Linked DNA regions of Daphnia pulex. The protein of the gene in region 2 purifies or fractionates together with the protein of the main gene of each other region. This does not show direct contact. Links are inferred from orthologs where the notes say so. Each region holds a gene or a part of one and is shown on either strand. Other genes may lie near its edges.

Region 1 (3,751 bases), on a different chromosome or scaffold from region 2:
TATGTCCAACATGAGTCCAACAAGCGTTTACCTTGTTGTTGGAAGAAAGCTCGACTGTGCTGGTTGGCTAGACGCGGCTCTCCATTCAAAATCGTTTTCTGAAAAAGAGGAGAGCGGCCGTTTTTCCTTATTTTTACGACCGGCCTACAGGGACCGATTGGCGGCTTCCTCATCTTTCATCTTTTTTATTTCCTTTTGGGCGGCCAACGTTTCTAGGCGATCATGACTACCGCCGACCGCACCCATTTTTCTTTAAATGATTCGAATCTAGAGCTGTATCCTCCTTCTTTTTGTCTGAACTAGTTAACTCGACTACAATCAAATGATGCTGAAGATTTGGTTCATTTTGACCGTCGGGGTCAATCTTAACTATGAATGATAGGCCTCGAATCAAAGTTGATGGCATTCAAAGAAATGATAGGCCTAGTGAGATTTCTGGCTGGGAATAACAAATGGATGCAATGATTGAATGGATTAAAAAAGAAACGTACCAGGTTTGGGTACATTCCGTTTGACTTGCATCCATTTGTAGGTGGGAACGTTGGACTGCTGTTGTTGCTGGACGGGGTGGTTGAGATTGGGCTGGACTCCTCCGCCGTTGCCTCCGCCGCCACTTGCACCACTTTGCCCCTGGAGTTGATTGTGATGCTGGCCGGGGTGCTGGGCAGCGGCCGCGGCGGCCGCTCCCAGTCCAACCAGGTTGAGCATGCCGTTGACCTGGCATTGATCTCGCAGCGATGGCCCGCCGACGCCGACGCCGTACGGTCCCACGGAGGAGCCGAAATGGCCAGCCGCCGCGGCTGCTGGATGTGTGACGCGGGCTCCGTACTGGGTCACGTCCGGGTAGCCGTAACCTGCCGTCGCTCCCGTGGGAATGGCGACGGCCGCCGCTGATAGGCCGTTGATTCCGACGGTGCCGTCCACCACGACGCCATGACCCGTCATGGCCGGATGGACTTGATGATGCCCGTGGTGCACAGAGTGGTGATGGTGTGGGTGTCCGTGATGACTCTGGTGATGAACCTGGTGGTGTTGTTGTTGTTGCTGTTGATGGTGGTGATGTTGTTGCTGCTGCTGTTGCTGCTGTTGTATTCCGTGCTGGTGCTGGGCGTGGTGGTGCTGTTGTTGCTGTTGTTGCTGCTGGTGCAATTGCTGATGATGTTGCTGCTGCTGCTGCTGGTTGGGCGAACCGTGGTGCTGGCCGGAATAATCCGTTTGGTAGGCACTGCTGTTACCGACGGACACTGAAGATATCGAATGCTGGCCCATGCCCGTCCCCACGCTGTGCGGGCTCAGGTGGTAGGAGGCGGCGGCGGCTGTGGCGGCGGCAGCGGCCGCTGCAGCTGCGGCCGCCGTGGCGTATCCGTTGGCGTCCAAATTGGTGTAGGAGAGGCCGTTTCCCGAGCCTCCGCCGACGTCTCCCGACTGGAGCAAACCGGAATTTGTGTGCTGATCGTGCGGAGTCAGCGGAGGCGTTCGCGGATCGGGCGTCTGCTGCTGCTGGTGGCTCAGGTAGTGCGGCGGGCCGACGGAGCCCAAAACACTGCCGCCCGTCGGGCCGCTCGATTCCGGGGTCGAGGCCTGGCCCGACGAACCTCCGCCGCTGTTTGAACTGACGGATCCGCTTCCGTAGACTCCTCCGTAGACGGATCCGGCCAAATCTGTCGCGTAGTTTGACGCTGATCCGTAACCGACGCCGACGCCTCCGTCACCGTTGCAAACACCGTAAAGAACGTTGGCGTTCATCTTTTGTTTGTTTGTTTTGTTTCTTGTCTTTTAATTTGATTTTTTCAAATTCAAAAAAGGAAACCCAAAATTCCAATTTTGTTTTTGTCCACTTTTGATCGAGTTCTCGTCTCAATGACGTAACATCATCTGTCGTCCTGACACTGTAAATTAGGGGTCACTCTCACACTTTTGGGCTGCACCAATGACGACACTGCTCACTTCATATAGAAACCGAAATTGTTGACTGGGGCAAACTGGGGGAAATGAAACAAATCAAAAAGAAATTGGCTTTTTCACTGCGAAATTTTGGTTGTTGAACGGCGGCCACGACACGGGCAACAACAAGATTGAAGTAGCGGTGGTGGTGGGATGGTTAGTCCGATGGTCGGGCTCATCGCACTCTCTAGAAGAAGCGAATCCTCATCTGATTTTGTCGCCAAAAAGACGCAACTTGTGTGTGTGCGCAATTCTTGCCTTTTTGAATTGAAGTAAAATGTTTGGTCAGTTTGAAGCGGATGGCATAGGGTTAGAAAAAACAAACAAAAATAGTTGGCGGAACTCTAGTCAAGTCTCTCTATCTCGTGGCTCTGTACGTGTTACACTACGACGACCGAGTACTAGATGCCAACAGCCGTGATGGGCCAGGCCAGCAGCCAGTATTTTTTTTCTTCTTCTTTTCTTTTTTCCTTCGGTGGGGAAATGGGGTGGGTGTTTGGTTGTTACTGCAGTGCGAGGCGGGCAGGAACACGGGCAAACTCGGCTCTCTACACACATGCACACACACAACACACACACACGGGTGGATGTGTATAATAGTAGAGAGAAAGGAGGCCTGCCTACTGGCTCGACTCGCTAGAGGACCTCCCCTCCGAGTCACGTGACTAGCGCCAGCCGACCAATTGGGTCGCCGATTGGGAGCTGCTCGCGAGCAACGCCTCAATTTCCTTCCCTTCCCTCCTTGACAAGCTCGAGTGTGTCTGTCTGTGTGTGTATGCGTCTCTATACAGCACATGAGAGACTATGGCCGCACCGAGTGTACCGCCCTGTCGTGGAGTAGCTCTTCTCTCCTACGCCGCGCGGGACTATGGTGCATCGCACGATGGTTTATATCTTTTTTTTTTCTAAGGGACTCGCTATGATTACAAGAAGCGAAACACCGTGACGAGAAAAGAGAAAGACTCGGAACATTTTTCTCCGTTTTTTTTTCCACCGAAGAAGTGGATTGATGTTTCTATCTGTTTATATTTTTCTGGAATTGTTTGTAGAAACGGTCGATGCAAAAATTTGAAAGATAAAAGGCCGTTGAGGAAGCGTGAATTTTATTTTTGATTTGAATTATCAATTGGAGAGCAATGTCGGTGGAAATGTTTGATGTTTTCTATTATCTGCGGAAAGGCAGTCAGCAGACACACAGGGAGAGAAAGAGAGATGGAATATAAATGTTACAAATCATGCCTAAACGTTTGTGAAATAGATCATGATGATCGCTCTGGCGACTGCTGGGGTTTTTCCGACACGTTAATGACAGAGGGCTGGGTGGTGGCACGATGGATGGGCCATTGCGACGAGTTATTGATGCTCTCGCGCTGCGCTCTCTCTGCTCCGCTCCCATAAAAGGTGGCCCGAGCCACTGCGGTCTTGGTGGCCGGCTTATATAGCCAACACACACACACACACACACACACTGAGGAGGAAGAAGAAGATATGAGAGCCTTACTGTGTGTGTGCAAGGCCGAAAATGACATGTCGCACATTTTTTTTTTTCTTTTTTTATATTTGATTTGTCGGAATTTGAAATTTGGAATTTTTGAATTGCAGGTTGTCTTTGTTGGTGTGTGGCGTCATTGCGAGGTACACGGAAGAGCTGTCAGTCAACTCGGCCAGCCTTTTCCATTACAAGTGAGCGTCGTGGTGGTTTTCATCAATGGGGAAATGACGACGACGACGACGTGGAATGGAGAAATCATCTCTCGGGGGAGCTGCCGGTTTTGCAGGCGAAAATCTCAGGTAAGACAACAAGACA
Region 2 (3,751 bases):
TTTTTCAGTTAAAACGCAAACTTGATGGGAATTCTTGTGTTTTTTTTGTTTTTTTAGAAATAGGACTCGGGTCCGTGGGATGTGGATTTTCGAGAATACTGATGATCGTTTTTTCGGTGACGGGAGAGCGTACGTGATTGTAATCGGAGATGTTCGGTTCACTTCTAGTTGTCAAATAAAAACGATAACGACTACATCGACGGTTTCAACTATACGCAAAAGCGATTAAAACTACAGAGGTTTCTGAAACAAATGAGAAAAAACAAGCACCGATCGAGGTGATCCACAGAAACATTTTCTATCAAGACGAAACAACAAAGCTGCACTGAGAGGAAGGGACAAAAGAAGGAGTACGAGATGGGTTAGAACGAGTTAATCGAACAGCTGAAGATAGCTTGTAACGCACAGTATGATCAAGATCTGATGAAGTTAGTAAATTAAGAGTTGATTTGCCGAGAAATAGGGTGGAGGAGGAGAAGGGGCACTCGTCCACCCCTCAGGGTGAATTCACTTGATGCATACTTGGATCATAACCCATCGATGAATCGCCATAGCCCTACAAACACGTTTACATTAATTAATATGCTGAGATACCACTAGTTAAGTCATTAAAAGTAGTTTACTTGGCCGCCCATGGAGGAAGGAAAGTCACCACCGTTGAGTCCCATAGCACCGTACGGGCCTAAGGAATCTTGTGGACCCCTGAGTTCAGGACCACCAGGTTGAGGCGACATCATCGGTCCGGGAGTTCCAGCCATACTGTATGGCGAGGAACCTAACGAGAAAGAAAAAGTACGAAAATTAGAATCGCTCCGGTAATACGAGGATTTGAAAATCCTCAGAGTGGAAACAACTACCCGCGGCCTTTTTAGCAGCATACAGGTTGGCCTCCTCTTGGGCTTTTCCAATGTTTTTCTTGTAACGAATTCGTTTGTTACCGAACCAATTCGAAACCTTTTTTGTAAAAATAACAAAACATTAATGCGCTTATTCCTCTTAAAAGGATTTAAAAAGAAATTAACCTGTGAAACGGTGATCCCACATTTACGAGCGAGCTCTTCTTTGGCTTCTTCACTTGGGTAGGGGTTGCTTAGGTGCGAGTAGAAGTACTCATTCAAGATCTCAGAAGCTTGTTTGCTGAAGTTACGCCGCTTCCTCCTACATGATGAAGACATCGATAGAACAACACCTTTAATGGGCGTGGTCAAACCTTAAAAAAATAGCAAAATTTACCTGGCGTCGAGGAAACGAGATCGTAAAATCATAACGGCCTCGCAAGTGCTTTGCTTCAGCTGCATTTGGATGGAGCTAAACTTGCGATGAATGATCTGAACCATCCGCTCAATCTCCTTGGGTGTAATCGGACGAGTACGGGATTGTTCTCGGAGCAAATTCATAACATGGGTGGTGAATTCACTGCAAGCCTGAAAGCGGATGTAAAAATGAAATGGTTATTCTCCATTTTCTTGTCATAGAGGTCCAATAAAAAAATAAGCATTGCTAAAAATGTGTACCTGCTCATATTTCTCAAGCTCTTGATGGTAAATTTGACGAATTTGTGCCAACTTAGCCCTATAATCAGAGTGTTCAATAGCCGAGTCCGACATTGAGCCGCTTTGAGACGCTGCAGCTGATGCATTGGCAGCAGCACCGGCCCCACCTCCTTTTTCAGGACCAGCTACTCCTTCAGCAATCAACATGTTATCCAACCGCATGAGTTGCGGATCTGGAGGCTCCTCTTCTTGCGTGTTGCGTAGCGACAAAACTAAAGTGAGAGCACAATTTAATGTTACCATTCAATCACTTGGATTCATATTGAAATAGGGTTACCAGTTTTCTCTTTGATTTCACACAAGACAGAAAACAAAGCAGGTTTCATGCGATGACAGTTCAGGGTATGCTTGCGTGCTTGGGCTTCATCAAGACTCTGGTCTGTGATGTTCATGATCTGTTGCAGAATTTCTCCAATATCCTAAAAAAAAAGAAGTTTTACTTAAAAGGAAAAAAAGATTTTGGAAATGGAATTGTACACACCTGCTTTCGTCCAGTCATATTTTCAGAGTCTTGGTTCCCTCCATCAAGTGAAGCCATGTTAACCCCAACATTGACTCCGACATTGACAGGAGGTAACCCATACGGTGGCTGATGCATTAGTCCAACCTGGCCACCTGGAACAGGATGCATAAGTCGATTTGGATCATCCATCAAAAGCAATGAAATCTTCCAATGTCACTGCACAAAACGTATTGCCTTCAGGCTACAGGACCTGGCAATAAAGACCCTGTAAACAATGACTTTCCGTTTACTAACATCCATACATGTGATTTCATGAAATGTAAACATAAAATGAAATGTACTAGACACAACAAAGCACTAGTATTGCAAGAAAGCAATCGTAAATAACAAAAATTGGCTTCGGTTAATATAAAAATGCCAACGTCTTATAAAATGCCCAAGGCGACAAGCGTCCGCCATGGAAGAGAAGTTTGCTTGCGTAGCGTATTTCTTTCAATTAGAATAAAAACTTTCTTTACTGACTTGACACACAATTTGAAACCGGGAATTCACGAGTTGTTTAGTATTCAAACAGACTGAATCACATTTCTCAAAGGCTCATAAAATAATTACCAGAGATCGCCGAGATTATCGACGGGACAAAGCAAAAAAGACGCGAGAACGCGATCACAAAGGTAAGTATCGATAATTATATCGGGTAAGCCAATAATCGATGTACTAGAAACTCGCGATACTGTATTTATTTTTTATTTTGAATTTTATTAATTAAAATTTTATTTTTACAAATGAAAACGCAACAAGAGTAAAAATATAATGATGTTTGATGTTAAAATGTATTAATTTGACTTTAACCTCTATGAAGATAAATACATTTAAGTTACATAAGAGGCATTTTCTTGATAAATCGTCGATGCCACAAAAATGCTGTGATAATTGATAATGAATACCACGTTAAAATGTACGAAACGTGTTCATTTCTAACAGTAACAACTGTTTGTCCACCTACAGGTCCATCCGGTACTGTGCTATCAGCGTCCGCGTCAAAGAAAATTGGCGCAGTGTCTAGAAGCCGAGCCATTCCCTCCACATCTCTGTACGCAATATATATGAAGTTATCTAACTTTGCGAAAAATATAATTGTCTTTACCTGAAATGAAACATGCGGTCTTTGGGCTGATTTTGGGGTACAAACTGGGGGCGATTTTCATTAGAGCGGTACACTCCAATCAGTTTTGTTTCGCCTTCTCTTTGTCCATTTAGTCTGGTGAATGGATTCATTTTTTTACGAGGAATCCATCCGCGGTTTACAAGAACTGTGAGACTAAAAGTAACTTGTAGAAAATTGAGAAAATTAACTGTTTGAATGTCTTACTTGGAATCTGATAGTTTAAATGGAGTGATGACTAAATAGCCACTCTGCCCTGAAGACAACATCCCACCACCTTCATTTTTTTCATTTCCAACCAGTGATCTTGGCCCAATGTAAATCTCTTTGTCATGTTCAAATTTTCCATGGAGTTCAAACTTCCGGTATTCCATGTCAGATAGCCCTTCAATACTGTAGAGCATTGGTGTAAATATGCATAAAAGGGTAGAGTTAAAGAATTGTATCAGTCTCACTCTGTAGACTGAAATGGAATTGGTGGTGCAGACGTTCTGCTGGCAAGATGATCAATAACACCAAGTTTCCACTGACGTCTGAAAATCTGCCAGGTCCCAAGGCCGAAAGTGATGG

Evidence for each region. The genes of interacting proteins can lie anywhere in the genome.
Region 1: the proteins of homeobox protein extradenticle-like (region 2) and homeobox protein Hox-B1a-like fractionate together in Drosophila melanogaster (co-fractionation; 5 studies listed by BioGRID). This does not show direct contact. The link is inferred for Daphnia pulex from reciprocal best matches to the Drosophila melanogaster genes exd and lab.

Annotation. Positions count from the first base shown.
Region 1 is NC_060024.1:12,526,844-12,530,594, reverse strand, and holds the start of homeobox protein Hox-B1a-like, read right to left. Parts: upstream 2,508-3,751; 5' UTR 1,747-2,507; coding exon 492-1,746; intron 1-491. UniProt on the Drosophila melanogaster protein: Sequence-specific transcription factor which is part of a developmental regulatory system that provides cells with specific positional identities on the anterior-posterior axis. Required for proper head development.
Region 2 is NC_060023.1:11,356,390-11,360,140, reverse strand, and holds the start of homeobox protein extradenticle-like, read right to left. Parts: upstream 2,716-3,751; 5' UTR 2,629-2,715; exon of another isoform or gene 2,539-2,628; intron 2,282-2,538; 5' UTR 2,206-2,281; coding exon 2,035-2,205; intron 1,973-2,034; coding exon 1,831-1,972; intron 1,766-1,830; coding exon 1,515-1,765; intron 1,425-1,514; coding exon 1,234-1,424; intron 1,159-1,233; coding exon 1,023-1,158; intron 955-1,022; coding exon 855-954; intron 776-854; coding exon 624-775; intron 557-623; coding exon 497-556; 3' UTR 1-496. Other genes in the region: surfeit locus protein 1-like, read right to left, coding at 2,894-3,107, 3,164-3,337, 3,389-3,574, 3,637-3,751. UniProt on the Drosophila melanogaster protein: Transcription factor which acts with the selector homeodomain proteins altering the regulation of downstream target genes such as wingless (wg), teashirt (tsh) and decapentaplegic (dpp), thus affecting segmental identity.